Linked DNA regions of Saccharomyces cerevisiae S288C. Changing the gene in region 1 together with any one later gene gives a genetic interaction. Each region holds a gene or a part of one and is shown in the gene's direction. Other genes may lie near its edges.

What was found.
Region 2: of ALG14 (region 1) and ALG7, extra expression of one rescues a mutant of the other (dosage rescue), as found in Saccharomyces cerevisiae (one study listed by BioGRID).
Region 3: mutations in ALG14 (region 1) and TPT1 together harm fitness more than expected from each alone (negative genetic interaction), as found in Saccharomyces cerevisiae (2 studies listed by BioGRID).
Region 4: mutations in ALG14 (region 1) and SEC59 together harm fitness more than expected from each alone (negative genetic interaction), as found in Saccharomyces cerevisiae (2 studies listed by BioGRID).

What each region holds. Positions count from the first base shown.
Region 1 is NC_001134.8:378,567-386,334, reverse strand, and holds ALG14 (N-acetylglucosaminyldiphosphodolichol N-acetylglucosaminyltransferase anchoring subunit ALG14), read left to right. Parts: upstream 1-6,400; coding exon 6,401-7,114; downstream 7,115-7,768. Other genes in the region: PFF1 (Pff1p), read right to left, coding at 1-49; DNA-dependent ATPase RDH54, read right to left, coding at 347-3,223; YBR072C-A (uncharacterized protein), read left to right, coding at 3,314-3,475; chaperone protein HSP26, read right to left, coding at 3,661-4,305; YBR071W (uncharacterized protein), read right to left, coding at 5,289-5,924. UniProt on the Saccharomyces cerevisiae protein: Involved in protein N-glycosylation. Essential for the second step of the dolichol-linked oligosaccharide pathway. Anchors the catalytic subunit ALG13 to the ER.
Region 2 is NC_001134.8:703,251-711,654, reverse strand, and holds ALG7 (UDP-N-acetylglucosamine--dolichyl-phosphate N-acetylglucosaminephosphotransferase), read left to right. Parts: upstream 1-4,861; coding exon 4,862-6,208; downstream 6,209-8,404. Other genes in the region: RRT2 (diphthamide synthase), read right to left, coding at 1-64; chromatin-remodeling ATPase ISW1, read left to right, coding at 116-3,505; glutathione peroxidase GPX2, read right to left, coding at 3,639-4,127; YBR242W (5'-deoxynucleotidase), read right to left, coding at 6,269-6,985; VVS1 (Vvs1p), read left to right, coding at 7,600-8,404. UniProt on the Saccharomyces cerevisiae protein: UDP-N-acetylglucosamine--dolichyl-phosphate N-acetylglucosaminephosphotransferase that operates in the biosynthetic pathway of dolichol-linked oligosaccharides, the glycan precursors employed in protein asparagine (N)-glycosylation.
Region 3 is NC_001147.6:120,892-128,615, reverse strand, and holds TPT1 (tRNA 2'-phosphotransferase), read left to right. Parts: upstream 1-1,926; coding exon 1,927-2,619; downstream 2,620-7,724. Other genes in the region: IZH4 (Izh4p), read left to right, coding at 696-1,634; myo-inositol transporter ITR2, read right to left, coding at 2,786-4,615. UniProt on the Saccharomyces cerevisiae protein: Catalyzes the last step of tRNA splicing, the transfer of the splice junction 2'-phosphate from ligated tRNA to NAD to produce ADP-ribose 1''-2'' cyclic phosphate.
Region 4 is NC_001145.3:292,318-300,620, reverse strand, and holds SEC59 (dolichol kinase), read left to right. Parts: upstream 1-3,882; coding exon 3,883-5,442; downstream 5,443-8,303. Other genes in the region: BUD22 (Bud22p), read right to left, coding at 194-1,753; translation initiation factor 3 subunit CLU1, read right to left, coding at 5,654-8,303. UniProt on the Saccharomyces cerevisiae protein: Catalyzes CTP-mediated phosphorylation of dolichol, the terminal step in de novo dolichyl monophosphate (Dol-P) biosynthesis. Dol-P is a lipid carrier essential for the synthesis of N-linked and O-linked oligosaccharides and for GPI anchors.

The sequences.
Region 1 (7,768 bases):
TTGTTTTCCGGTACTTTAGAACTGATCTGAATACACTTTTTAATTTCATGCCGTGATTCTTTAACTTTACCTATCAATTTATTTCCTTGTAGATAATTTTTCACATTATTTTTTTTTTTTTTTTTTTGGGACTAAAGGCTATTCAAATCTTTCAGATGTTTGATTTGCGCCCGCAGCGTATCGTTATCAAATTAGTGAAAACGTGGATATCAACTTGAATCAGCAATAGGCCCTACTTAATATGTGACTTGAACCTGAATGAGTCGTGCAAGAATAAACCTATTAAATACAATCAGTGATTAAATAATAGCTATTTTATTTAGTATATAAGTGTCCATATTTGGCGTCATTGTTCTCTGAGACATATCTCGCCGGGCTTTACAAACGCAAAGGTAATACTATCTTTCAATTCGGTGAACGAATCTGTGATAACCTCATCAAATAATTCATCTTGTCTTGCTGGATCGATATGCTTATAATGAACGAGACATTGCCTAATGTATTGTGACTTTTTGGCATCATCGTTGGTGGCTGCTTCATTCATTTTCTTTTGTAAATCCAGCGCACTTGTCCATGTCGTAGTGCTACGCTTTCTCAGCTCTACGGTGTTCTGCTGTTGATTTGTTTCAGGATATTCAATTTCCTCACCTAAACCATCGCAAGAACAAATTAAGTCATGTGTGTTACTCTTGGTATCTGTATGGACAGAAAACAGGTCCTTCAAGTCCTCTTTATTGAAAAGATCATCATTAGAAGATTCTTTATTTCTCATCTCCGAGTCACCTAGAAATTTTTGGCTCAAACTGTTCTTCATTAATTGCCTTTGCAATATTTTCTCATCGATACACCCAGTTGTGACAAGTCTATATATGAAGCACGGCTTTTTTTGACCATCTCTATGAATTCGTGACATCGCTTGCAAATCTACTGAAGGATTCCAATCATTATCAAATAAAATAAGTCGCGAAGCACCGACTAGATTCAATCCTACACCTCCCGATTTTGCACTCAACAAGAATCCAAATATGGCTGGATTCCGATTGAAAGATGTGACGATAGAGTCCCTTTGTTTAGCAGGTATGGAACCGTCGAGTCTGCAATGTGACATCCCAGCCATATTCATCAAATTTTCAATTATATCCAATGTTTGAGTGTAGTTAGACACTACGACGACCTTCTCCTTGGTACCCTTCCTAATACCTTCTAGTAATGTCATTAATACCTTTAACTTACCAGAGTTCAAAGAACGACTATAGCTGTCCTGAGATTGGGTATCCTTTATATGTGATTTGTAATAGGGATCTGAGCCAACCAATCCAGGAGAGTTACAAACCTTTTTCAGTAATGTTATTAGTCCTAGCGAAGAACTGAACGTCAATTGTCCAAAATCTAAACGTGCGCCCTGCAAAATATCTTTGAATGCCAATATCTGTTGGCTGTATGGTTTACAGAATAAAATTATATCCGTCTTTGGAGGAAGGTACTTTTCTAAAATCGCATTTGTTCGTCTCAAAATAAATCTTTTCGTAATTTCTATCATCTCTTTTGACCTTTCTTCCCCCTTTTCCAACAATTCTTCGTTGTATCTGTTTGCAGTGTCTCTGGCTCTAGTTATAGGGATAATGAATCTTCTTTTGAAAGAAGCGAAGCTTCCAAGGATTCCTGGGTTTATGAAATCTATAATAGTGAAAAACTCATTAAGATCATTTTGTATAGGAGTTCCCGTAAGCAAAAGCTTCCTTCTTATGTCTAAACTCTTCAGCGTATTTAAAATTTTAGAAGCCCCGTTTTTTAGTCGATGGCCTTCGTCACACACCAGCATGTCAATCAAATGTTTATTTTTCTCTAATTCTTCAGAAACACTCAAGAGTTTTTCGTAGCCAATAATCAAGACTTGATAAGTTCGTTGCACTTTTAAAAAATTTCTGACAGCCATTTTATCCATATCAGGAGAATTCCTTGAGCTTAATGTCAAAACACCTATTCTTGACAAATTTAACCATTTTCCAAATTCTCTTTTCCAATTTCCTATTAAAGTAACGGGACAAACGACTAAAATCTTCTTACAAAGTCCAGTTAATGGTATGCCTGATTGCGAACATGAAACTTTTGATGCAAAAGGAGTTTGCCTAATTAATGTCCAAATCAAAGTTATACTCATTAGTGTTTTACCTAAACCCATATCATCAGCCAAAAGGCATCCACTAATATCTGAGTCATTTTCTAACACTAAACTTTTAGTAGTACAATCGATATCCGGATTTTCAATAGTTGGTCTTGCCAAGCCCATTAAGCAATCATACATGAACTTCACCCCTTCCCTCTGATGAGGGCGCAAGAATTTGCCCAGTAATGGATCAACAATTACGTCAACTTCAGCGGCTGCATTTTTGTTCATTACTATAGGATTATCGATTTTGTTGACATCAAATACTGGATAATATTTTTTGGCTTTGGAATTTTGACTGGTTTTAGGTACTGTGGTCATGTGTTCATTTGTTTGCTTTGTTACTGATTTGAATCTTTTCACAGTGTTTAGTGAAAACAGCTGAGACAGAGGCATTTGGTATTTGCCACCGTCATTCTTCGTAGAAGGCACTGTTTCTGTTGTGCTTGTGGTCGGTGGGCTGGGATTTCCCATGTTTTGTGATAAGGCTTCTTTGGCGCTACGTATTTCTGCATTTTCCTTCAATTCGTAATCCAATTGTACTTCATTGGAGCCTGCTTTGAAAAGAGTTTCGAAGAGAGAATCTGAATCACTTGGTAGCATACTTGACCCAAGAAATTTCCCTGCTTCGTTATAAAAGCATAACTTATCGCTACTGGCTTTTAAGGTAGCGTAGCCATCACCACTCCAAGTCTTGTGCTTTTTGGTAGTAGGCTTCCTGTACATGATAGTAAAATATCTAGTGTTTTCATTTGAGGACAGATTATTCGGCTTCTTGGCAAGATTTAAAGTAGGTCCCGCCGAAATGCTTCTTTTCAAGTTGACAGTAACTTTGGCTTTAGATATAGGGGCTGTTGTGACTGCAGTGGCGGTTGGTTTGAGTTGTGTGTACTTATTTGATCCAACCCTTCTTGGAGGCTTGAATGGCTTGTTCTCATATTTCGGTATCTGCATTTGAGTAGTACCGGAATCAAATACCGTTTGATATACCGAGCTGTTTTTTACCTCCTGTAGGATCTTCTCTCTTCGTCGAGGTTTAACGCTTATTACCGCCATTTCAATACAAAAACTCGATTCTAATCGGTTATTTATAGTAGGTTTTCTTTTTTTTTTTTAGCTCTTCGCGTTTTATTTTTTATTTTCTTGATGCATATATTAACGCGATCGAGTAAAAATGCCTTTCCCAGAAGTAGAAGTAGGCAAGACATCCATATTTCAAGCCACATCCATAGAGATACCTCCAACAGCGCGTTGTTGAAGATTTTGGTAATTACAAGAACGAGGTTAGATTCCTTCGTTAAAACTTAGTCAAAAATAACGGTCATATATCGAAGCCAAAGCAAGTTTTTATAACTATTTATTCATCAACTCATATATATCTAAACTAATTCTAAGAGGTAAAATCGCTCAGATGTGATGACCATATGTTTCAAGCCCATATGCAAGCAACAATGGTCCTCGCGAGAGGGACAACACTATAGAGCCAGGTCACTTTAGTTACCCCACGATTCTTGAGAAGAAACCTCAATCTTCTTGACGTGGTTCTTACCATCCTTCTGAGGCTTCAATTTTGGAACTGTTAATGTCAAAACACCATTTGCGTAGTCTGCTTTAATGTTGTCTGCATCCACACCTGGGTAGTCTGGCAAAGTGATGACTCTCTTGAACTTACCAGAGCTGCTCTCCTTGACCTTGACCTTGTCTTTACTCTCTTCATTCAAGGTAGATGGAATTTCACCAGAAACCAAAATTTGGTTCTTGTTTTGATGGTACTCAATATCAATGTCCTTCTTGCTTTTGACACCAGGAACCACGACTTTCAACTCGTAGTTGTTGTCATGGTCCAAAATATCAACTGGAACTGCGACACTTCTAGGGAAACCGAAACCAGATGGGAACAGGGACAAGTCATTGTCGAACCAATCATCTAAGGTTTCATCTCTGGGATCATAAAGAGCGCCAGCATAGTTATTTGGTCTAGCAACTTCCTTGCCAGTAGAATCCTTTGCGGGTGTGTTTGCTAACTGACGTCTTGGTGCGTAGCCTCTTAAGCCGCCTTCACCCAGCAATCTGTTAAAGGCATCAACTTCGTTGTTGATGTTGTCAAAGAAATCAAAAAATGGACTGTTAAATGACATGTTAATTTGTTTAGTTTGTTTGTTTGCTTTTTTGGATACCTGTTTTAATAGAGATCTGATATATCTTTATCGGTGGTTTTATTAGTATAAGAGAGTAGAATGAAAGGTGAATGGATTAAAAACAGATCTCTAACTAATGGAGGTCCTATTTATATGTTTAGGAATAAGGGTGAAAAAGAACCGTTGTTATGAAATACCACTCAAGAACGTGCATAGATCCGCAAGGACATCTAAAACTCGCATATTACTTAATTTTGTGTTGCGAGCACGCTAAGTGCGAATACCTTACTGTTACGAGCACCCTATATTTTTGGACGCATAAGGGGGAGGGAATAACCATCGATCTTTCTAGAAATCAAGCAATGCTTGAAAAAGCACTTTCGTTGGTTGTGGATGTTCATGTAAAGACGGTTACTATTCCGATCCAACAATGCACCTTGACAGGCAAGGTTCTTTAGGGGTACACACGGAGTTAGGGGTACACACGGAGTTGCTGCTGCCCCAGTAACATCCCAGTGATTACCAAATGAAGACACATAACCAGATTATTTTGTGCCACATTGCCAAGAAGGTAAGAGAATTGTGGCTTACTGTAAGCTACAGGTTCAACGGTGCATGCAAGATGGCCGCGTTATTTTTTTGGGGTCCCCCCCTGAGGCTTATGAGAGAGACCCATAGTCTTGTTTTCAAGGAGCCAAATTGCCAAATGAAAAGAAAAGAAAGTTAAAAATTCAATTAAATTAAACTAGGAGTAATGTTAGTGTATGTAGTAAGAAAATGATTGATGTGCGCAGAATATTGAAACGGAGACTGAAAACATTCTATTGACGGATTCCGAGCGAGAATCACGTAAAGAAGGTTCTAGAAAAAACATAAAAAAATGAAAAAACAAAGTGAGGTTGGAACTAGTAGAGCCGTTTAGGGACTCTTAATTAACGAATTGTCCAACATCAACAACAAAGTGTGTCCTATGGTAGGTTATATTAAAAAAAGTCCAACGATGTCCTTCTACTGGAACCCATATCCAGGTTGTCCAAATTTGATTCGTGCAATGTTTCGATAGACGCTGTCCTTGAGGAGGAGTCGTTTGAACAGAAGACAAAGAGAGCTTTAGAATCATCGATTGCTATTGTGTTGTTAATTTTGAAAGCGTCTGTTTTATCCATCTCTTCAATATCTTCGTACAACAAATCGTGAATGGAATAGTCATTATCTTGGGAAAATATGGAAGAGATCGAGCTCTTGGTGGAGGAAAGACTGGCGTCTGATTCGCTCCTCGTTGACTGCGTTGGTGATGGAGCCATCCGCAGCTTTTCTTCCTTTGCAGCGTTTGTTTGCATGTGCCTCATGGCCGAGTGGTAGTCTTTAAGCAGTGTTTCGTCCAGTAACAAGCTGCTCCTTTTTAACTTTGACTGACTAGATGTGCTTCTCTTATTCGTAGGAGACAGGAATTGAGAAGGAGCTGTGCCCTCCTCCTTTTTCTGCTTCGTCTTGGAGTGTCCATGGCCAAATTCGCTAGTCAGCGAGATTAGCGAACTTTTGGATCCTAAATGCATGGATTGTCTTTTCTTGGTGTCTGCGTTTGTGTTAGTGCTGGAATTTTTAGAGCGTCTTAGCATTTTACGTATTTTGTCTTTTTGTGCCGTCACAATATATAGTTGGTATGTTCTTTATCGTCGTATATTTCTCGTGCCGAGCTTGCGCCTTCTTTAACAATAAACCAAACGAATATTGAGGCTTCTTTATAACAGTTTGGCAAATAGTCAAGAATATAATGAGCAGCCAAGCGCGAAATTATGAATTCTATTAATATCCGCACTAGTGAATTCGAATACTTCCTTTACAGGTCATTTTCTCCTATTGCTCCAATTTACACTGCTGTGCTTTTTTTTTTAATTACGCGCATTAGGTAATTTTACCCCTACGCGAAAGTTAGTCGTAATTTCGTGTTTCTTTTTTTACGTGTTCTGTCTGTCCAGAAGCAAAAATGTTCTTAGCGAAGCCATCCTAATATTTCATGTACAAGGGCCCGCAATAACTGTAATCGGCGGTTTATTATTGTATCAGGAAAGTCGAAAGAAGTGACTTGAAGATCATGAAAACGGCCTACTTGGCGTCATTGGTGCTCATCGTATCGACAGCATATGTTATTAGGTTGATAGCGATTCTGCCTTTTTTCCACACTCAAGCAGGTACAGAAAAGGATACGAAAGATGGAGTTAACCTACTGAAAATACGAAAATCGTCAAAGAAACCGCTCAAGATTTTTGTATTCTTAGGATCGGGAGGTCATACTGGTGAAATGATCCGTCTTCTAGAAAATTACCAGGATCTTTTACTGGGTAAGTCGATTGTGTACTTGGGTTATTCTGATGAGGCTTCCAGGCAAAGATTCGCCCACTTTATAAAAAAATTTGGTCATTGCAAAGTAAAATACTATGAATTCATGAAAGCTAGGGAAGTTAAAGCGACTCTCCTACAAAGTGTAAAGACCATCATTGGAACGTTGGTACAATCTTTTGTGCACGTGGTTAGAATCAGATTTGCTATGTGTGGTTCCCCTCATCTGTTTTTATTGAATGGGCCTGGAACATGCTGTATAATATCCTTTTGGTTGAAAATTATGGAACTTCTTTTGCCCCTGTTGGGTTCCTCCCATATAGTTTATGTAGAATCGCTGGCAAGGATTAATACTCCTAGTCTGACCGGAAAAATATTATATTGGGTAGTGGATGAATTCATTGTCCAGTGGCAAGAATTGAGGGACAATTATTTACCAAGATCCAAGTGGTTCGGCATCCTTGTTTAAGTAAACCATTTATGTAGGATAGTAAAACTTCCAACTATTTTTGAAGTCTTATGGTGGCACCGCACCTTCTTTGATGCTTAAAATTTCCAGGATTGCTTCACAAAATATAAACAATCCGGCCAACGCATTAAAACTACCACTGCTAACCAGAAAGTAAATCAGTAAATCACTTACTTACAATTACTACGTATACAAAGCAAACAATCACATTTCATGTCTGCATAATTGCACAGTGTATGCATAATGCATTACGGCACCAAATTTGGTGTGTAAAGGATAATGCGACACCGGTCTTAGAGATTTTTGCACGAGGATTATTGCCGTACGGCTATTTGGTGTCGTCTCACTCTTCGCCGCGCCGGGACGGCCAAAAATACAAAAAAGGTCAGTCAGGGCCGGCAACCCGATGAGGAAAGGGCCCTTCCAGTAAACTTCACATTATCTTGACAAGGCATTTTTTTTCAAAAAAAGTGCATTTTGATGGACAAAAAGAAAAGAAAACCTCCAGGTTATATTCTTTAACTTGACAGTGTCTGAACATTTAAATTTTTCGAATGGGTTACCTCATCTCACCTGTTTTGGAAATTAATGTTGGAGTAAAAAAGTATATAAGATGCTGTTTTCGTATATATCCCTGTTTTGTGGCATCTATTT
Region 2 (8,404 bases), 330 kb from region 1:
AACAACACGGCGGTAGTTTTGTTTTCACTGCATTTAGTACATCTGATTCTTGAATAGAGTCCATATGTATAGCTATGCAAAAACCAGCTAGAGGTGGATGTAGAAATACCCTATTATGGCCTATATGTTAGCTATTGCAAATTTTCACTTTTTCAAGTTCTATACTAGAATGAGAAAAAAACACGAAAACAATTCTTGCAATGAAAAGGACAAAGATGAGAACCTATTCAAAATTATTCTCGCCATATTTTTGCAAGAAAAAAAAAAATACGATTGTATTTCATCTGGTTCAATTATGACTGCTTCAGAAGAGTACTTGGAGAATTTAAAACCGTTCCAGGTCGGTCTCCCTCCACATGATCCTGAATCGAATAAAAAACGTTACCTGCTGAAGGATGCTAATGGTAAAAAGTTTGATCTGGAAGGCACTACAAAAAGATTTGAACATCTGCTATCCTTGAGTGGTTTATTCAAGCATTTTATTGAAAGTAAAGCCGCTAAAGATCCCAAATTCAGGCAGGTCTTAGATGTATTAGAAGAAAATAAAGCAAATGGCAAAGGCAAAGGCAAACACCAAGATGTTCGTAGACGAAAGACTGAACACGAAGAAGATGCGGAATTATTGAAAGAAGAAGACTCGGATGATGATGAGAGCATTGAATTCCAATTCAGAGAATCACCTGCTTACGTTAATGGTCAATTGAGACCTTATCAAATCCAAGGTGTCAACTGGTTGGTGTCTCTGCATAAGAACAAAATAGCGGGTATCCTTGCTGATGAAATGGGTTTAGGTAAGACCCTGCAAACTATTTCATTTCTGGGATATCTTAGGTACATTGAAAAAATTCCAGGTCCATTTTTAGTCATTGCGCCTAAGTCTACCTTAAATAATTGGCTGAGAGAAATAAATAGATGGACGCCAGACGTAAACGCCTTTATTTTGCAAGGAGATAAAGAAGAAAGAGCTGAACTGATCCAAAAAAAACTTTTAGGTTGTGACTTTGATGTTGTGATTGCTTCTTATGAAATTATTATAAGAGAAAAGTCGCCCCTTAAGAAGATTAACTGGGAGTATATTATCATTGATGAGGCTCACAGAATCAAGAATGAAGAGTCAATGCTTTCGCAAGTCTTAAGGGAATTTACCTCACGTAATAGGCTGTTGATTACTGGTACTCCTTTGCAAAACAATTTGCATGAACTATGGGCGTTATTAAATTTTTTGTTACCAGATATCTTTTCCGATGCACAAGATTTCGACGATTGGTTTTCTTCTGAAAGCACAGAGGAAGATCAGGATAAAATTGTCAAGCAACTCCACACTGTTTTACAGCCTTTTCTACTACGTCGTATCAAAAGCGATGTGGAAACATCCTTACTGCCTAAAAAGGAACTGAATTTATATGTCGGTATGTCTAGCATGCAGAAGAAATGGTACAAAAAGATTTTGGAAAAGGATCTGGACGCTGTGAACGGGTCTAATGGCAGCAAGGAATCCAAAACAAGACTTTTAAATATCATGATGCAACTTAGAAAATGTTGTAATCATCCATATTTATTCGATGGTGCTGAGCCAGGTCCACCGTACACTACGGATGAGCACTTGGTTTATAACGCTGCCAAACTTCAAGTTTTGGATAAGTTATTGAAGAAATTGAAGGAAGAAGGTTCTAGAGTTCTGATTTTCAGTCAAATGTCAAGATTATTGGATATTCTCGAGGATTATTGCTACTTCAGAAACTATGAATATTGCAGGATCGACGGTTCCACCGCTCACGAAGATAGAATTCAAGCCATTGATGATTATAATGCTCCTGATTCTAAGAAGTTTGTTTTCTTATTAACGACACGTGCAGGTGGGTTAGGTATCAATTTAACGTCAGCAGATGTCGTTGTCTTGTATGATTCAGATTGGAACCCACAAGCAGATTTACAAGCAATGGATAGAGCGCATCGTATTGGTCAGAAGAAGCAGGTCAAGGTATTCCGTTTGGTCACAGATAACTCCGTGGAAGAGAAAATTTTAGAAAGGGCTACCCAGAAGTTAAGATTAGATCAATTAGTTATCCAGCAAAACAGGACTTCTTTGAAAAAGAAGGAAAATAAAGCAGATTCCAAAGATGCTTTATTATCCATGATTCAACATGGTGCCGCCGATGTATTCAAAAGTGGTACATCTACCGGTTCAGCTGGTACGCCGGAACCTGGTTCAGGAGAAAAAGGAGATGATATTGATCTGGACGAACTTTTACTGAAATCAGAAAACAAAACTAAGTCATTAAATGCAAAATATGAAACTTTAGGTCTTGATGATTTGCAAAAATTCAACCAAGATTCGGCCTATGAATGGAATGGTCAAGATTTCAAGAAGAAAATACAAAGGGATATTATAAGTCCGCTACTGCTCAACCCCACCAAACGTGAACGTAAGGAAAATTACTCTATTGATAATTATTATAAAGATGTTTTGAATACAGGAAGGTCCTCGACCCCATCACACCCCAGAATGCCTAAGCCTCATGTCTTCCATTCCCATCAATTACAACCTCCCCAATTGAAAGTCCTGTACGAAAAGGAAAGAATGTGGACGGCGAAGAAGACTGGTTATGTACCGACCATGGATGACGTAAAAGCAGCATATGGCGATATTTCAGATGAAGAAGAAAAGAAACAAAAATTGGAATTGTTAAAATTGTCGGTTAACAACTCGCAACCATTAACTGAAGAGGAAGAAAAGATGAAGGCTGATTGGGAGTCTGAAGGATTTACAAATTGGAATAAATTAGAATTTAGAAAATTCATCACGGTATCTGGTAAATACGGTAGGAACTCCATTCAAGCCATTGCGAGAGAATTGGCCCCTGGCAAAACACTAGAGGAAGTTCGCGCATATGCTAAGGCCTTCTGGTCTAACATTGAAAGAATTGAAGATTATGAGAAATATCTGAAAATAATTGAGAATGAAGAAGAGAAGATCAAGCGTGTCAAAATGCAACAAGAGGCTTTACGTCGGAAGTTGTCTGAGTATAAGAATCCATTCTTCGATTTGAAATTAAAACATCCTCCTTCTTCTAACAACAAAAGGACGTACTCTGAAGAAGAAGATCGTTTTATCCTTCTCATGTTATTCAAGTATGGCTTGGATAGAGATGACGTATACGAATTAGTGCGTGATGAAATTAGAGATTGTCCCCTATTCGAATTAGACTTTTACTTCAGAAGCAGGACACCTGTAGAGCTAGCCAGAAGAGGAAATACATTACTGCAATGCTTGGAAAAGGAATTTAACGCAGGGATTGTATTGGATGACGCCACTAAAGATAGAATGAAGAAAGAAGATGAAAATGGTAAAAGGATAAGGGAAGAATTTGCAGATCAGACCGCTAATGAGAAGGAGAACGTTGATGGAGTAGAGAGCAAAAAAGCGAAGATTGAGGATACGTCGAATGTTGGAACTGAACAGTTGGTAGCAGAGAAAATTCCGGAAAACGAAACCACTCATTAAACCTTCTTTTTTTATATTTCGATTTTTTTTAATATATCCTACACCATGCTTCTGAAGAAAAATATATAATCATACTAATCTATAAATGTATTATTTATTGTTCCGGATAATTGCTTGATTATAGACAAAGATATCATTTACTTAACAGGCTTTGGATTTCTTGGTCCAAGGACGATGGTTTTGTTAAGGAGGAAAATCTTTGGACAACCTTACCATTGGAATCAACTAAGAACTTTTCAAAATTCCATTTGATACCCTTGAAACCTAGTAAACCTGCTTTTTGGCTTTTCAAATAATTATAGACAGAGTCAGCATTACTTCCGTTAACATCAATCTTCTTCATAATTGGGAATGTAACGCCATAATTCAACTGGCAAAATTCCGTAATTTGTTCATCAGAGCCCGGTTCCTGCTTCCCGAACTGATTACATGGGAACCCCAAAATAACAAACCCCTTATCTTGATATTTTTTGTATAGTTCTTCCAATTCTTTATACTGCGGCGTGAAGCCGCACTTGGAGGCAACATTAACTATGAGAACTACTTTGCCTTTCAGTTGGTCAAACTTAAAAGATTCGCCTTTCTTGTCCTTGCATTCTAAATCATAAAAAGATGTGGTCATTTTGAATTATTACTTTTTGTTGCTAATTGTATTCTTGTCAAGGTCAGCCATGCAGGGAAATGCAAGTTCTCTGCGCTACATCACATATTAGCAAATAGTAGTTCTTTATATATCAAAACAATAACAAAAGTACCTGCACATTTTTTAAAGCAGGCTGGCTTAGGGGCTTTGCACTAATACGGAGACAATGGAACTAATGCCTTTCACGATATGTGTGGCAGATATTGTGGTTTTAAACTCTTTGTCATCGGAATTACTAATTGTCTAGATATGGCCGGCCGAGTAGCCTCTAAAAAATATTAAACAGTTGAAAGTAAAATTGCTTGGAAAACACTACTGAGTCGTTGGTCATTTCAAGAGACTGCATCTATCAAAAATAGTCAAGATTTGTGTACATGTTCGTCGTACATTTAGTAAGTAACGTCCGTATTTTCCTTTTTTTAGCGGATGATGAGTAAAAAATTTCTTGTGGATTTATATGTTACGAATACAAACACAGAGGTTGATGCATGAATTTTTTCTAGCTACTACCATGTGTTTAATACAATAATAGTACAGGTTTCCTTCATCTCCTGTATATGGCCCTTTCCTTTTATATTGCCTCAATCTCGAAAAATGCTTTACTAAACAGCGCGAAAATTAAATTGTTAACATGTGTATATAACTGTGAAATATGTAAATAAAAACTTTATCAAGTAGAGCAAGGCGGAGAACGGTAACAAAAAGTAGACTATATGTTGCGACTTTTTTCACTGGCACTTATCACATGCTTAATCTACTATTCCAAAAATCAGGGCCCATCTGCTCTTGTTGCGGCCGTGGGATTTGGTATAGCAGGCTATTTAGCTACAGATATGTTGATTCCACGTGTGGGCAAATCCTTCATCAAAATAGGCCTATTCGGTAAGGACTTGAGTAAACCTGGCCGTCCGGTGCTTCCAGAAACAATAGGTGCTATCCCTGCTGCAGTTTATTTATTTGTAATGTTCATTTACATTCCCTTCATTTTCTACAAGTATATGGTCATAACCACTTCAGGTGGGGGCCATCGCGATGTCTCAGTGGTTGAAGATAACGGTATGAATTCTAATATTTTTCCTCATGATAAACTATCTGAATATTTGAGCGCTATCCTATGCTTGGAAAGTACGGTCCTCTTGGGTATCGCTGATGATTTATTTGATTTACGTTGGAGACATAAGTTTTTCTTGCCTGCCATTGCAGCCATCCCACTGCTAATGGTTTATTATGTGGATTTTGGAGTTACGCATGTACTTATTCCCGGATTCATGGAACGCTGGTTGAAAAAGACTAGTGTTGATTTGGGGCTGTGGTATTATGTTTATATGGCATCGATGGCAATTTTTTGCCCCAACTCCATCAACATCCTGGCAGGTGTTAATGGTTTAGAGGTTGGCCAATGTATAGTGTTGGCCATCTTAGCGCTATTGAACGATTTGCTGTACTTCTCGATGGGGCCATTAGCCACAAGAGACTCCCATAGGTTTTCCGCTGTTTTGATTATCCCATTTTTGGGTGTATCCTTGGCGCTATGGAAATGGAATCGTTGGCCCGCCACAGTGTTTGTGGGAGATACATATTGTTATTTCGCTGGAATGGTATTCGCAGTCGTTGGTATACTGGGTCATTTTTCAAAGACGATGCTTTTGCTATTCATTCCTCAAATCGTTAATTTTATTTATTCATGTCCTCAGCTATTCAAATTGGTCCCCTGCCCGAGACATAGGTTACCTAAATTTAATGAAAAAGACGGTTTAATGTATCCATCAAGAGCAAACTTAAAAGAAGAACCGCCAAAGAGCATTTTTAAACCGATCTTGAAGTTACTATACTGTCTCCATTTGATTGACCTGGAATTTGATGAAAATAATGAGATTATTAGCACCTCTAATATGACGTTAATAAACTTGACATTAGTATGGTTTGGCCCTATGAGGGAAGACAAATTGTGCAATACAATCTTGAAGTTGCAATTCTGCATTGGAATTTTGGCTTTACTTGGAAGACACGCTATAGGCGCTATCATCTTTGGCCACGACAACCTATGGACAGTACGTTGAAGATTATGTATTGGTAGTTACTTTGTACTTTTATGACGCAAAAGTTGGTATTTATGATAATTATTTAGTTATCGATTGAGTCAAATCGGCGAAGTATTTTTGGCGCTGCACGACAAGGTCACTTGTCCAGCCCTTTACTTCGTCTGTTTTTATGCTAGCTACAGCCCCAAAGAAATCATCGAAGTTTTTCGTTCCTTTGTATTCCCTCTCGTACTCAAAACATTGTACAAGCATTTCATATTTATCGATATCTTTCACGTATCTAGCTTCCAATGAGGTGACATTTTCATAAGCCAACCAATCGTCCATAATTTCCTTTGCCGCGATCTCATTGTATGGCTTGATCAGAGCATTACATAGATATTTTATGGTTTCCCATTCCCGACGATGCTTTTCTTCCTTCCCAATAGGGTCAACTGGAGTAATATCGCCAACTAAAGATTCGGCGATATCGTGCACCAATGCGATCCGGACACATTTATCGCGGTTAACCCGCGAATCCTTGATCAGCATGGTGATTATGCTCAATCTGTACATGTGATCTGATATGCTTTCACATTCTTTAATACCGAGGTCAAGATAACCGGTTCTTCTCTGAATTTTTAATTGCTGTACCACGTTCAAAAACGCCAGGATATAGTTTGGATGGGGTTTAGAGAGCTCATTTTTAACATATTGGGGTACTTGGCTTTCAGGCTTCCATTCAGTTGTTAAACGTGTCTTTCCTGCCTCAACAGAACCAGAGCATGATTTCTTATTTGTGATCGTTGCTGTCATATTTTTTTTATGTAGGCTTTCTTTGACAATTGTTTTTTATGAGAATAAAAATAGTGCAGAAGGTTTATTAGAAATGGAAAAGGTTTGCTCCTGCGAAAAAAACCATTCAGTGGGTATTTTCAGGCTTTATAATGACCAATGGACAGAGTAAAACAGTCTAATTATGATAAAACCATATTTATAGATTAAGACTTTTCTTTTATACGTTTCAGTAATGTTTTTTTTTTTTTTAATAAACGAAATAAATTTTTAACATCAGGACCGAAAAAATGCGATGAGCTTTTAGATCGACGAAAAGTGTAAATGATTTACCTAAATATATATATATGTTAGCGAAAAAAGCTTAGCTTCTGGGCACAGTGCTCGGTACACTTTTGGTAGAGCTGTAACGAGCAATGATACGCGGTCTGTAAAACGAACTTGCTTGTGTAGTCATACGTCGTAGGCGTAATGTAAGGTTGTCCGAGAAAAGATGGGAAGTGTGAGGGATGAAATGGATTTCCCTTAAAGTTGCTTCCTGATTAAGGGAATAACAGGAGAACAAAAGTTGCTGAATATCTTTCTCTCTTGGAACAACAACAAAACACAGAGACTAAGGCATAACAAACTAAGTCATGGCTGAAACTGAAAGACTAATGCCTAACGGTGGTTCCCGCGAAACAAAACCGTTAATTACGGGCCATTTAATCTTGGGCACGATAGTTGCTTGTTTGGGGTCGATCCAGTACGGATACCACATCGCAGAGTTGAATGCGCCTCAAGAATTCTTATCGTGCTCCAGATTTGAGGCACCAGACGAAAACATCTCATACGATGACACTTGGGTTGGGCAACACGGACTCAAGCAATGCATTGCGTTAACCGATTCTCAATACGGCGCAATTACGTCTATATTCAGCATAGGCGGACTGTTTGGGTCGTACTACGCCGGTAACTGGGCCAACCGATACGGAAGAAAGTACGTGAGCATGGGCGCCTCGGCCATGTGCATGGTTTCTTCTCTGCTGCTTTTCTTTTCCAACTCCTACTTGCAGTTGCTATTTGGCAGGTTCCTGGTAGGCATGTCCTGCGGCACCGCCATTGTGATCACACCCTTATTTATCAACGAGATTGCCCCCGTGGAGTGGAGAGGCGCTATGGGATCTATGAATCAGGTTTCTATCAATCTAGGTATCCTGCTGACCCAAACCTTGGCACTCAAGTACGCAGACTCCTATAACTGGAGGTGGCTTCTCTTTTCCGGATCCGTGATTGCGGTAGCGAATATTTTAGCTTGGCTCAAAGTGGACGAATCTCCAAGGTGGCTGGTGAGCCACGGATTCGTCTCGGAAGCTGAAACTGCTCTGTTCAAGTTGCGTCCAGGAACGTACCAACAAGCGAAGCAAGAAATTCAGGATTGGCAGCGTAGCCATGGGCACA
Region 3 (7,724 bases), on another chromosome or scaffold:
AACCATTAGCTATAGAGCTAGTCGGAAATGGCGGGACCGAAACAACTTTTGATAGTACAGGGAACTCCAGCGTATGTTTCTCTAGGTGACAAGAAATAAAACTGGAGACAGGCGATTGACAGAAGGATCAGAAGCAATAGTCTTACTACTTATAGACAGAGAAAAATGATTATTCCATATGTTACCCTGATATTCTACGAGAAAATGGGCCTTCGTCAATAGCTATTTAATTTAAGCATATGTACGGGCAGTACCAGCTGTTATAGTTTACATAAAATAGACATATTCACGTGTATGCAAGGGCACATAAAAGCAAAGGCTGACATTGAAACATAGCAAGCCAAGAGATAGAAAAGGAGGATACGGGGTGAACAGCCGGTCTATTCTTATATATACTTCAAAGAAGCGATAGTTCTGTCCGTATAAAAACTCGGACAATTCGGACAGCACTCCGCGAGAAAAGGGCTCGTTGGGCAGCTCAACATTATTCAACGCAAGCCTGTTGAGCTCAATTGGTTTTAATTGTAAATACTCAATGGTGTCAACAGCTAAATGATTTACACTCATATATATGGTCCGGATATATGGACGCAGAAGTAAAATAAAAATGAAAAAAAGTAGAAAAGGAAATTAATTTCTTAAAGTTCTTGTCAGCGCATATAATATTGGTATAAAGGTACATATATATTGACAGTATGGTTTCATTGACTACAATAGAGCAAAGCCCAGTCAAATGCGAGACAACCACTGAGAAAGAGAGCAATGATACTAGGGGGACAGATTCGAACGAGAATGCAGAGACAAAAGAAACAAAGAAGGGTTTTCCATTCCATGACTTGGCAAAATTGCAGAAACAGTACAAAAATAAATCCAGTAGGAACGAGTCACTAGTAGCACTAATATATCTCTTGGGTTCGATGCTGTCATTTTGTCTCCTAATATTTTTCACGGACTTTTATTTGATACCTTTGTTCCCCACCACCACTACAATGACAGACTACATTGTATTCAATTTTTATTTATTGAACGTTTTTGTATTTTGTATGGTGCATTTCATTTATCACTTCGTCAAAAATATTTCTCTACAACAACATCTCGAACATTGGCAGAAGTTTTCGTATTTATCGAATATCAACTTATTGATATCATCACAAATCACAATTCTTTATTATCTATTCTATGATTACGTGTTTTTCTTCAAAATTTTTACCCTTTTAATGAACTTCATAGGATTAGTGGCATACTTTTTTATATTGACGGACAAACTCATTTCCTCGAAAAGATTCAATAAAACAGTTTTCTTCATTTCGGTATCAGTAGTGTGTTGTTCCTTGCCACTATTAACCGCAATAATCACCTTTGATGGTTTAGAAAACCTGAAAGAGAGGATAAAAGTGAACGCAATTACGTGGGAACTTGTGGCTTTGGTAGCGGCATCTATAATTTACGTTACCAGGTTCCCTGAATCATTGTTCAGACGAAATAAAAAGGAAGAAGGTTGGAATCATTCCGAGTACCTTTTCCATCTCTTGATTTCTGGTACGGCTTTTTACCATTTTTTCATTTTGATTCAATCTTATATTTTGATGCATTCAAGTTTGAATCAGCCCGAATTAATTAATTTCAAGTCTTAGACTCAGCTGGTGCTCACATAATAAATAATTGAATAAATAAGGCAAATTAAATAAAAAAATAATTCAAGAATGGGAAGTGTATCTCCTTTAAAGATACTTACACGAGTTGAATTAAGCTTCATGTTTTGACTTTAATGTCTTCTGCGGTTCTTGTCCGTATTTCTGTCTTCGTGATGTATTTGTTCTTTTTTACTGACACCGTGACGCGAGGAAAGCTCATCAAAATAATGGCAAAATGCATAATACATTATTACAGAATTGAGCAGAATGACTGGGAAAGGTGGACTTGACAATGCGCCAGGTACTACAAAAAGATAAAAGGGATGTACAGCTTTCCAAAGCTTTATCATATCTGCTTCGACATACAGCGGTGAAAGAAAAGTTGACTATTGACTCAAACGGTTATACACCGCTGAAAGAACTATTGTCTCATAATAGATTGAAAACTCATAAATGTACGGTGGATGATATCCATCGCATTGTTAAGGAAAATGACAAACAACGCTTTCATATAAAAACGTTAGGAGCGGACGAAGAATGGATCTGTGCTACTCAGGGACATTCAATCAAATCGATTCAGCCATCAGATGAGGTTCTCGTACCAATTACTGAAGCGTCGCAGTTACCACAGGAACTAATTCATGGAACAAATCTTCAATCTGTCATAAAGATTATTGAATCCGGAGCAATATCACCAATGAGTAGAAATCATGTCCATTTATCGCCGGGGATGTTGCACGCGAAGGGAGTTATTAGTGGAATGCGTTCTTCAAGTAACGTCTATATTTTCATCGACTGCCATTCTCCATTATTCTTTCAAACTTTGAAAATGTTCAGGTCGCTCAATAATGTTTACTTAAGCAGCAGTATTCCCGTTGAATTGATCCAAAAAGTTGTAGTTAAAGGAAACTTGAAAGATGAGGAGAAGTTAGATACTTTAAGAAGAATTTTACACGAAAGAAACATACCGCTCGAAAAGATATAACTTTCATCAAGCTCAACTTTTATGAATTTTTATTTTTAAATACTTCGCTCTTACTTATATATTTAAATAAAAACTTTTAAGATTAGATGAAATGAATTGTCTCCCTTTTATAGCTTTCTTCCTTCTTTTTTGTTCTTTATCTTTTATTTTTTGTTGGTGTAGCAGTCTAACTTTCTACAATTTCCTGTGTAGGTTCGAATTTGAGTTTATGATGGGCAGCACCTTCGGCCACCTGTTGTTTCCTCTTTTTAGCTAGAGCTTTAGAGGCTTTGATATTGAATCCGTCCTTTAAAATTGTTTGAACTTCCTCTAACTCCAATCCTGATAGTTCTGGATAACAAAAGTAACAAAAAATGGTTGATAAACATGCTACACCGGCAAAGAATGAAAATGTACCCGTTGGTGTAATATTTTGTAACATAGTCAAGAACGTAGACGCAATGACTAAAGAACCTGCCCAATTGGTGGCAGTAGCGTAGGATGTCCCTACACCTCTGACGTTTTGTGGAAATAATTCCGATTGTTGCCATGGAACAGTGCCGATACCGAGGGCATAAAAGGCTGCATACACAATAATAAATACGATAATGACAATGCCCCAAGATGAAAATCCATCAGATGCCACTACTGCATCAGCACCGTTAAACTTAATACCTAGGAAATGGAACGCTATAGCACATATAACCAGCGCCACAGTCATACCAGGTAGTCCAATCAGTAAAATGTACCTACGGCCGATTTTATCAATACAGAAAAATGCTATTAATGTGAACACAAAATTAGTACCTGAGACAATAATAGAAACGGCAGAAGAATTTTTGAATCCAACAGTTTCAAATATTGTACCGGAGAAATACATTAAGGAATTCCAACCTGTGAATTGTTGAATGGCTTGTAGACCACAACCAATAATCAAAGCTCTGAAATTTGAAGGCACAGTGTGCAATTCCTTGACCATATTCCAGAATTTTGTTATTGGATTTTTTCCTGGTATCGATTGATTTAAGCTAGATAATTCTTCAACTTTTTGATCAATTATTTCATCTTCAGTGTTTACGTAACTTCGTTTGAGAACCATTTTTGCTCTCTTTAAATCGCCTTTCATTACGTAGTATCTTGGTGTATCCGGCAAAAAACAGAAAAAAGAAAACTGCAAAACAGTAGGTATCAAGGACAAACCAACTAAGATTCTCCAACCGTTTTTGACGTGGTTCAGGCCCGCACCACAACCGTAAGCAATCAATTGACCACCTGTCAGCCATAGGGAATTTATAACGGTTAACCTACCCCTGATCATCTTAGGAGCAATTTCACTAATAAAAAGAGGAGAAATCAAAGAACCAATACCGACACCGAAACCCATAATCAGTCTACCGGCCGCCATTTGCCAAAACTTGTGCGCGGTAATTTGTAAAATTGCTCCGATCAAAAACATCAGATTGGAGAACATTAAACATGGTCTTCTTCCAAACACATCAGCAGCAGTACCAGCGCCCACACTTGTAATCAAAGCGCCCAATGATGTGGCGGCCGTAATTAATTCTTTTTCTCCATAAGTTAAAACTTTGTTGTCTAAATCTCTATTGATAGAAATTAGCGCACTCGATATGTAACCAGTATCATAACCAAACATGAACCCAGAAATGGACGCAACGAATGTCAATGTAATAATAAAAGGGGATATTGACTGATTGAAAGTTATAATCACTGATGTATCATCTTCATCGTTAACTGGTTTAATGACAATTCGACCGTCATCCTCGTCCTCATCCTGTCTAGATTTTATTTGCATTGTAGAGGTGGATACGGGAGACTTTTTCGGTTTTTGACCATCATTGTCTTCTTCACAGTGCTTCCTATGGTGCAGTTCTTCTCCCTGCGTAGAAGATTGATCAGTTGAGGCGGCCCCCATACCACTGCTATTAGTGTACGAGGGAAAGAAATGGGAGAGACGACTCTTCGTCCATCTGGAACTAGCAGCTGTCGAATTCTTCATTTCAGCCATGAAAAAAAAGCAGTTTTCTTGCTTTTACTGCGTCCTGCCTCTTTTCTTCTTTTAGTTTTTTGTTTTCGTTACCGTTTTCCTAGCGAACGACAATGTTTATTTTATTAAGGTATTCTTTGTGTTTTTTCGTACTCTATACTAAAGTATGGTCAACTGCTTACGTTCTGTTAGGCGGAAGACACGAAATAACTTTGCTTCACATAATATTTTGCATACTTTTAGTGGCAAGACGAGCGATTTTGGAAATTTTTTTGGCGATGTTTTTTTAGTAAAGCGGGTTTTTGACTACAATTTGAAAGCTCTTGTAGTAGAAGAGGGAACAAATAAGAAAAAAGGTTCCGGGATGAGGATTTGAGCTGAAGGTGAGAAATGGGTGAATGTTGAGATAATTGTTGGGATTCCATTGTTGATAAAGGCTATAATATTAGGTATACAGAATATACTAGAAGTTCTCCTCGAGGATATAGGAATCCTCAAAATGGAATCTATATTTCTACATACTAATATTACGATTATTCCTCATTCCGTTTTATATGTTTATATTCATTGATCCTATTACATTATCAATCCTTGCGTTTCAGCTTCCTCTAACATCGATGACAGCTTCTCATAACTTATGTCATCATCTTAACACCGTATATGATAATATATTGATAATATAACTATTAGTTGATAGACGATAGTGGATTTTTATTCCAACATACCACCCATAATGTAATAGATCTAATGAATCCATTTGTTTGTTAATAGTTTGAATGTTTTTATCGGAAGAGGTTTTGTCATCACATCAGCAATGTTCTTCTTGGTCTCGATGTAGTATACGTATAAATTATTACCTGATACTTCATCTCTAAGTCTCATTGCCTTTGTGCCAAAAAATCTGTTTCTAAATTTCTCTTCATTTGTAGACTTAATTATACTGATCGTTGATCTACTATCAGTAAGTAAGCCTTTAATAATTGGTTTCTTGTTAAGTTCTTGTATCAGGTAACTTAGATTATTTAATAATGGGACAGATTCACTTATCGCGTGTATTTCTGCTTCCGTAGTTGAAGTACATGTTAATGAAGCCTTGGTGGACTTTCCTCCAATTACCTTTCCATTAAGTAAATATATGTTGCCAATTTGTGATTTATAATACGGTTGGTTGCCATACGAAGCATCACTTATTGCGACTAGTTTATTATCTGGCTCGGTAGGTTTGTTTTTGTGCCATATCAGTTGTTTATCTCTAGTGTCCCACATGAATTGTATCAACTCATATGTCATGTCTAAAACTTGCCTAGAGGGGAATAGTATATGTTGAGCAAGTGTGTTGATGTAGTATAGTAAGTCAAATCTAAATTTATATCCAACATATGAAGCTAGACCAATCAACTTTTGCATTTCATGTACCTTCTCTTTGTATTCATCTTCATCTATTTCTAGTTCATCCTGGTCTATATAAAGACCTGGTTGACCTGGAGCGCTAAGTTTTCTTCCTTTTGGATTCAAAGGTACGTTTAATTTGGGTATTTTCTCAGTTAATGAGTTTTCCATACCTAATTTCATGTATTTACCTCTTTGATATTTGATTTCTAAGCCAAGTATGTCGTACTGAATTTCGTTATCACTTTCACCCAGATTTATTATCTTTGTATCGTATTGTTTCTTGAGTGTTGTTATGATTTTCTTATTTGCATTTAAGTCTTTGCTGAATAAAATCATGTCGTCAACAAATAAACATATTGTTACTTGACTATTCTTAAATACGCATGACCATCCACGAACTTCTTCCATACCACACTGTTTTATCAGGTATGATTTGATAGTTTCGTACCAGTTCGCTCCACTTTGTTTCAATCCATAAAGTGATTTCTTCAAACGTATCAACTTATCATTCATTCCTAAATGTGGTGGAGGTCTTATGTATAATTCTTCTTTGATGTCTGCATACAAATATGCCGAAGATATGTCTAATTGTGTAATATAGTAGTTATTGTCTAATGCAAGTGACAGGGATGTCATTAATGCATAGTGATGTACGGTATTGGATTGCATGCCTGAGTCGTAAGTGTCAGGATGCTGAATATCACCTCTTGCAACAAATCTAGCTTTATGAGTACCGTCACGTTTCTTGTTGAAGATAAACATTGAGTTTATTACTCTTTTAGGGTCTATTTCTTTTCTGTCATAATATTCGTCAGTGTCCCAAGTTTTCATCTTCAACAGTTGATTGACTTCTTTGTGGTATGCCTCGATATATTTTTCTTTTTCTTTAATATCTTTATTATAGGTGATTGCCTCATCGTATCGTAAGGTTGTCCGTATTGGTTTGATTGATTTTACTGCTTTTACAGCTGCAATCAGGTGAATTCGTTTCTTCGATCTCGGAGGTTCTAAACTACGCATATTCTTAGTATTCCATGTGTCTCGTGATACCTTAATTTCAGTTTCATTATCTTCTAATGATCTTTTCTTACTGTTGATAGTAGTATAGGCATTAGAGTCACCAATACCACCCAAACTGGAATTAGTTTGATGAGAATTTATCGGTGGGAGTTCTTTAAATGGGTCAGGGAATTCGGTAGGAGATTCTGGAGGTAGATCAGGGAGTGGGAGATCAGCGATGATAGATTCCTCGGTATTCTGTTCAGAAACAGTAGTTGGCGTTTTGATAGGAACAATATTGTGCGATGAATTATTTTCCGGTGGAGAAGCATCGATTGAAGGTGAACGGTGTATAATCCTTTTCTCAGTCTCTTGGTCACTTATCTGCGGAACAGTTTTGTTGTTGGTACCACCCGTACTGGATATTGGTACGTTTGTATGATTAGTCTCATTTTCACTGTACGAGTCTGAGTGTCTGAAATCTTTAGATTTACTGGCGTGCGACGACTCATGTGTGTTAGATTGGGACATGGGAGCAAGTAAAGGAACATTTAATTTATGCATACCACCCGAACCGGTACTCTCGATATTGGAAATTTGGGGGGTGCTAGATCTCTTCTTTGATGGAAGAATATTAGATTCAGATATGTTGGGGTCAACTTCTCTGGGTGCGCGAATATTGGTTTTAGAAACACGTTTCGAATCTTCAGTATGAGTTGACGGAGGTGTG
Region 4 (8,303 bases), on another chromosome or scaffold:
CCAGCTTTGGTTTCCTGAATTCTTTTTCGCATAACTAAGTTCCGTGAAGGCGAGCATGACAGCGGTAGATGATACAAAAGCTCAATAATTCAAATGCTATAACGGTACGATGTAAGATATACGCGTACATATATAAAATAGATGTGCTAATAGTTTTTATTATACATGAAGTTAGGAGATGAAGACGTTATGTTCAATCAAATTTGATCTTCTTACCTTCAAATTTAGCTTTTTGTAATTTTTCTTCAGCTAATCTTTTTGCAATCCAAGAAGGATGTTCTTCTCCAGTGGATGCACTTTCTTTTTCTTTCTTATTGTTCGTTTCAGTACGTCTGTCTTCGCGTTCCCTACTCCTAGAGGCCTCTAATGATGCTGCTTTAGCTTCACGCTTAGCTACTCTTGCTTCGTACTCGATTTGCCTCTGCTTTCTATCTTCCATTTCCTTTTCCAATTCCCTTTGAACGTGCTTGGCTTGTGAGCCGTATTTTTTTTCCCAAATCTTTCTTCTTGCCCTTTGCCCACGTCTGTTTTTCCTCTTTGGCTCGTTTGACATCTGCTCTCTGGCCGTACGGTCTTCTGCTGTGTCTCTCTTTTTCTTCTTTCCCTTAACATTTTTGTTGTCTTCATCGCTTTCCTCTTCAGTGTCATTTCCACTGTAATAACCAGCCATTAGTTCAGGTAAATTATGCAATTTTGGTTTTTTTCTCCTTGGTTCATTCTCTTCAGAGTCGCTGAAGCGTTCGTCACTGTCATCCTCATCGGATGACGCTTCGCTAGGTTCTTCATCTGTTACTTCATTGTAATTGATATTAGGGTTCAAGTATCCGCCGCCTTCCCCTTCATCTCCTGAACTGCCTAGCATTCCCTCGTATTCCTTTATCAATAGATCCTCATTGTCGGACGTTGTTTCTTTATTGCTTTGAGTTTGTGCGCCGATCGCATTAGATTTGCTATCGATGGCATTCTTTTCATTGCCGTCATCGGTGTCATAGTCAATGTTGGAGTGCGTCTGATTAGCATTGGCCGTCTTCTCCCTTGCTCCATACTTCTTTGCTTTCATAGCGCTTACATCAAATCCAAATATGAGACAAATACTCAAATCGAATGATTCGGTTAGATTTTGAACGATTTTACTTTGACCAATTAGTGCGTTTAACTTTTCACAACTTGGCAGCTTCGTAATAACTTCATTCCATATATTGCTTGGGTTCCACTTACTTGTCTTATCATTGATATAACCACTATAATCATTGTTATTCAACCAAGTTTTATTATTCGTATCACCTTCAATCTTTTTGCTTTTTTGTTTGATCCTCTGGTGTAAGATTTTGATCAGCCTAAATCTTGTCATGAAGAGTGCTAAATCATCTAATGACAACTGCGTAGCAAGCATCTTTTCAATATCTATAGAGGGTGATTTATTTTTTTGAGCATCCTTCACTTTACTAGAATTTTTTTTGGATATTTTCTGAATTTGTTCTTTTATACATTTTGATAAATGCGTCTCGTAATAGTGAATCTTATTATTGAGTAACTTTGAGTAACTTTCATCTAGTTCTTTGTCCAAAGTTTTCAACTCTAAAGAGTTTAACAGTTTTTCAATTTTCTTTTTGTTCTTTTTACCTATACAATTGTATAATTTGGCAGTTTTTGGATATCTTGGTTCAAACTTCTGTAATGATTTTGTCAAATAATGGTACTGATACTCCAACTGATCAAGCTTGTAGATAGAGACGGATGATTCGGAAGGCATGTTTCCTTTGGGTTATCCGTACACTTGACCTCTTTATACGTATATACTGGTTAAATTGCTTAAAGTAGTCATTCATACACTAAATGCACACAGTGATGAGGTAGATGAGATGAAAATTTTTGCCATATGGGCCATGTAATGTCTGGGTGTTGCTTTAATCGATCACTAACAGATGAAAAAGGTAGAATGGATAAAATACTTAAAGAATTTTATATGGCTTGTGATCAGACTGACGTGCAAATCATTTGATGAGACGTTTTCTTCATTGATGTTCTCAAGAAAATATATAGCTCAAGAAGTTGTCATCACATCACAATTAGTTATAATTAACGCAAGAGAAAATTTACTCAAGTTAATATATTTGAACTCAAATATATTGAAGAGATTAGAGTCGTCCAAATAGTCAGCATTACAATGGTTCGCTTGACCCAATTTCTAAATTTGCTAAAAATATTAAAGCTCAGTACCACGCCCTGTCACAGGCGAAATATCATCAAAGTTAATCGATAAACATTCGAAAAACGCAGTTGACCGTCGTGAAATGTGGAAATCATCATAAACAATTTTTGAAATTGGAGAAAAGTTAAAAACCTTGAAACAGTTTGTACGATCTCTCATCTCTCTCAGATAAATTTTCTAGTTTAAATTGCATCAGACACTAATTGCTCTTTTCAATCATGAAGATCAGACATATGCTTGTCTATTTGAGTAATTTGTTTCATCTTCTGCAGCATTGACGTCTCTAAGGTAGAAATTTTCTTTAAAAAACATGGAAGCAATACAGACACATCAACTGATGAACTAGTTATCTGTCGATTTTTTTCTATTTCCAAATTCTTTGCTAATCGAAAAGAATAATGTAAACAGCTTCAGAAAGGCATGAATGGTAATTTTAATAGTTGTGTCTTCACGAATGATCAGACTCGTCATCTATAAATATCTCATCATAAAAACCAATTCACATAATTATACGAAAATGAGAAAAAAATCCATTCTTCCCTATAGAAAATTCTGTTAGCCCTCAGAAAAACTTACAATGGATCAGTTGCGCGGGTTTTCTAGGCCCGCTAAAGCATTGTCACTCATTTGAAAGGATATTTGTTTCCCCCTCAGTGCCCAGTGCTGTGGATCCTCATTTCCATTGTATCAAATAGATCGAAAACATCAATCTACGGAAGAATAGCACTAAAAAACTACTGTTTTCTAAGCTTAAATGTATTCTTCCAATTTATGGAAATGTGTCAACTTTCTAGTATTTATTTTAAAGGTGTTTGCTAGGTCAGGATAGTGCAAAAACGTATCAACATATACTCGTTCAGCCAGTAATTCCAGCTTTTGTTTTTGTTATAATCATCATATGAACAAACACCTTTGAATAAATATGGAATAAAAAGAAAATTGAAATGGGTGTGGTAAATGAAAGGAGAGCAGAGAAATTGAAGAAATACTACTGTATTTCTATTTAGACTTTTCCTTTCAGTTTTTTCTTCTTTATTGCTAATTAAAAACCTCAGAAATAAGAATAAACGTTCTAATCACAAAAGATTCAGAAACTCTAGTTTGTAAAAATTTATTTTGGTCATCAAGGGAATAATTAGCCTGTGATAATGACAAAAGACATATCTGAAAAACTAACTTTGATAAAGAAGAAAAAAAGAACACGGAAAAAAACGTTTTATGGATTCAATTTCTCTCTCAGCCTTTCATAGCTCCCACTCATCTGAATATTTCTTTTGTATTGATCTTTGTGATGGAAATCATAGGATTCTAATATTGTAACTTATTAAAGAGAGGAAGCATTAATTGCCAATAACCATTTCTGCGTCTCTTATTTATACCCGAAGTAATCCTAGAAGAAAAAAAAATTTTCAGAAATGAAAAAAGTTCTAGATGTATGGGTGTGCGGGTAATGCTAAGATACGTTATTGAGGGCTGTCCGCAATGGTTGGGTTTTCAGGCACGTAATTTTCAAAAGAGTTGTACACGTTGTTAGTCAAGATGGTGAAAATGGTATCGAAGGACGTATTCTATGAAAGATAGAGTTTGTAGTAAGCCAAATATTAGAATTTAGCTAGTAAATCAGACTCCTTTCGAGGCAATAAACTGTCGTTATTCTGTTCATTGCCTATATGGTCGCTATAATACCTCATGCTTCCTTTACCACAATTAAACTAACCCAGAAAACTGAGGGAAGCCAAATGCCAACTGAGGAGATCTGCAAAATCAATATGAGGACTCGTAAATTTGATGTGGGCGGGAATTCTCGAGATTTTGAGTGCTTTTATTCGAATTTTGTTCAAACTGTTATATTGTTGGGCACTTTTTTTTACTGTGTTGAAAGGCTTCAGCCGTGGTCCATTGTTACCGCTGATATATCTTATAAACAAATCTTTGTAAATGTCTTTGTGGTGTGTTTGATAATGGTTGGTCTGATATTCACAAAATATTGGCAACATGGTTACAAAAGCCTACCCAAGTTCGATACCATTTACAGTTTATATTTACCGTTTATGGTTTCGTTGTTGTTCGATACATCATCTACGGTGATAAATACTATTTTGATCCTTTCGGTATTAAATTCATATAGATGGCGAACTCAGTTGGTAGTGATCATTTTACAGCTCTGCCTCATATTTTTTAATTTTGAGGCTGGTGACAGGTTAAAGAATATTATTAGCATAGTAATAAATTCTTTACTGTCGTTAATTTTGAAGTATATTGGGCAATTGAAAAGTTTAGATAATATCGACTCTAATCTTTTTAGTATCCTATTAACCAATATTCTGTACGTTTCAGAGGCTGGCACAGTACATTTTAGAATTTTGAAGGGCATTATCCTTGCTCTCACAACAATAATTTCAATTAACTATGTGCTCAAAAAGGTAATGCACTTTAAACCGTTTATGCTGTCAATATCCTTTGCCATCGGGCTTCCACTTTTTGCCAATACCTTCATTCATTTAGAAGACGGTGAAAATCCGCTACTTTGGCTGGTAAAATATATCTTAGAGTCTACTATTCGTCAAAAGATTTTGTTTGCTTGGTCTTCAATTCTTATACTGTCCATACCAAGTATATTGATCGAGAAGGACAGTCTATCGTTGAACACCTCCCGAAAATTGTGGCATTTCATCATTTTCTTACTCATAATACCGTCATTCCAAATGGATTCAAACTTTGTGAAAATTGCATTGTCCGGAACAATACCAGTCTTCTTATCAATTGAGTACATAAGATTTCAAAACCTACCGCCGTTAGGATCTGCTATTGAATTACAACTAAGAAGGTTTGCTGATGATAGGGACCACAGCGGGCCATTGATCATATCATACCTTTATTTACTCTTCGGAATATCAACACCTTTATTAATGAATAACTCTCCAATGGGTCTAATAGGATTGGGAATTGGTGATTCCTTAGCATCTATTATTGGTAAAAGGTATGGCCGCATTCGTTGGAAAGGTACACAAAAAACTTTAGAGGGAACTCTTGCGTTTATAGTAACGAGTTTTATCGTTTGTTTGGTATTGTTACGTTTTGATAAAGCTGCAATTTTTAACCACCTAACTACTTTACAATTGCTTACCCTTTGTACACTGAGTGGAGTGCTAGAAGGTAATAGTGTGCTTAATGACAATATTTTGATACCTGCATTTATGATGATTTGTGAAAAATTAATTACTCTTTGACAAAGTCAATTATTTTCAACTTTTAAAATTACATAACTAATTGTTTGCATTTATGAATAGAATAAAGAAAAGAATAGAGCAGTAAAGAAAAAAAAATAATTGTAAGTATTTTTTTTTCGTTTTATATCTAGTACTTACACGTAGTATATACAAGTATGGGCTATAGATATAAAGAAAAATAATAAATAAACGAGATTGTTAAGTTAGCTCTCTATTTCTTACCATGCTTCTTTTTATTGTTGGTTTTGTTTTTGCTCTTAGAGTTGGAAGAATCGCCTTCTATAAATGTTAACAACTCATCCACACTTTTGTTAGCCAATTCAGGTTTAACGTCATCCTTCTTTTGACGGTGATTGGTTTTTTTATGGCCAGCTGAATTTGATCCCGTTGTCGACATTTGATCTTGTGCAAGTTGCTTCTTTTGTTTTAAATCCATTATTAATGAGCTTAAACCATTAACCCACTGTCTTGATTGGGCTGAGTGCGTGTGATTCATACCCAATTGCTTGGTGAAAATCCCTTGGGTTACAGTGATGTGCTCTAATGCACGGTGGAAATCCTTCAATGCTGCAAACAAATTACCTAAACGTGACTCGGTATAGCCATATGCTAATGAATCTTTGCCTTCTAATTCCACAACATAGGAGCTTAGTTGTCCCAAGACTTCAATAGCCAATTTGGTATCTTGAACACCTAGGGCTAATTGTTCCAAATGGTTGAAAATGCTTGTGGGGGCTGGGTGATGGATTTTTGGTAACTCATAAACTTTTAGGATTTCTGCGAGCCTATTATAAACCACAGTAGCGTTATAAGGACTTTCATTAGAGAATTCTAGAATTGCTAAATTAGTTAAAGCCCTCATCATTTCAAAAGAATCAATACCGCTAACTCTTTCATAAATAGTACATGCTTTACGACAGAACGCGATAGCTTCAGGGTATAATGCTAACTTATTATAAATGGCAGATAATGACAAGTACTTTTCAGCAACGGCGGGATGTAAAATATTGTTAACATCTTCTAAGACTGTAATTGATTGAGCGAGTAAAGTCAAAGCACTTTGTTTGTCTTCGTTGATCATAGAAGCACCTTGAGCCCAAAATTCCTCACTAACTGAAGAAGTATATTCTGAGAACTTAACACGTGGAATAATGGTCAAATCGCTTAAACTGAAGGTAGTTGGTGGTTCGACAAACTTGTTCCTAATTTTCTTGTCAAGACTTTGCTTATAACTTTCCAATTGTTCTCTAGTAAAGAAGTATTCTTTATTGAGCAATTGAATACCAAATTTGTAAGAAACACTTCTAATGAGGGTGAAAGGATTTTCCATGTAAGCTTCGATCCAATTGGATGGTAATTGATGACGGAAACGCAAGAAGGCTTGTTTAGAGACAGCTTCCAGCAATTCGGAGCGTGTTAATTTAGCAAATGAGCACTTATTGACTGGATAAAATTCGTCGACTGGTTCTGGCTTCGGATCAGCATTGTAGTTGATACCAACTAACATATTGAAAACGTATGCTACCAGTGATGGAACCAAGAAGACCGGAACATCTTTACTCAAATCTTTTAAAACATGTTTCAAAGAACGCGAAACAATTTCTAATTCGGAAATTTTAATTAATGGCACTAGCTCATCATAGGCAACGACCACAGGTTTTCCATCGGTGGGCTTTTTGATTTCTTCATCGTTTAATTTCAAATCTTCAGTTAGTTCTTTTGGAACCTCTTTGCCTTCTTGTACCAGCTTATTAATCTTGGCTTGTCTCTCTTTAATCATGTTCTCAATTTTTTGCAGATAAGATTTTTCCCAATCCTCATATTCTTTGTTGTCTTGTTCAACAGCTTTCAAATTTTGTTCGTAGTGGACAATTTGGGAGTCCAATTCCTTTTGAGAAAGCTCGATAATTTTACCCAAGTAACGCATGTTGATACCATTCTTATGTAAAGTATCGGCTAAATGTTCACCATTATAAGGAGTGCTCAAATTTCCAGATAAATAATCTTGAATAACGCTGGGAATAACTTCTTTTTGTAAGTAGTTCGACATTTCGTCAACATTAGCGTCCTCAATACCTTCGACCTGGTAAGCATCAGGGTTATAACTAAACAAATTTTCTTCATAGGCCTTTTCAAATTCAACACCTTCCTTCTCAACTTTATTATTCCACCACTTTTCTACTAACTCCGGACGTAACAAAGTTTGCCTGTGTGGGTAACGGTTTCCAGTCTCTTCGATGTTGTCAAAGTTTTGTCTAGCAAAGTTGATGTCCAAGGGATACGTGTTGGCTAAATCCAAAATATAGCGCCTCTTATCGAATCCAACTATTCCCTTGGATTGCGATGAAAATGCTAATTCAGTACCGTTGACTTTGTGCTTTTTCAAATGGAATGCCTTGACAAACTTTTTTTCTAAAACAGAATCAAAGTCAGCATCATAAACAATCTTTCCCAAACCTTCATCAAGGCCGTACTTTACATTAATATCATTGACAAAATCTTCGGTAACCTCTTCGCCGGTATTAGCATCTTTTACAATTTTGTTACCCATGGTAGCTAAGAGTCCAGGTACTGGAGTTTGAGCCAAAATTCTTCTGCCTGCAAATTCGACTACAGTTGTTAAAAGATAACGAACTTCGTGCATATGCAAGCGATTCAAAATATTGATTGTCTTCAAGTCTTGGTTGGAAGCAGCGATTGCAGCTTCATCCCCACCTTTCCCTTCATAATTGCCACTAACGTCGGAAACATAGGAATAAAAGATATTGTCTTTTAAGAAAATTTGATCCCGAGTTGGAGATTCTGGGTTCATTGCAACGAAATCACTGTAAAAAATTGACATAGCGCCTGATGCTGCAGTA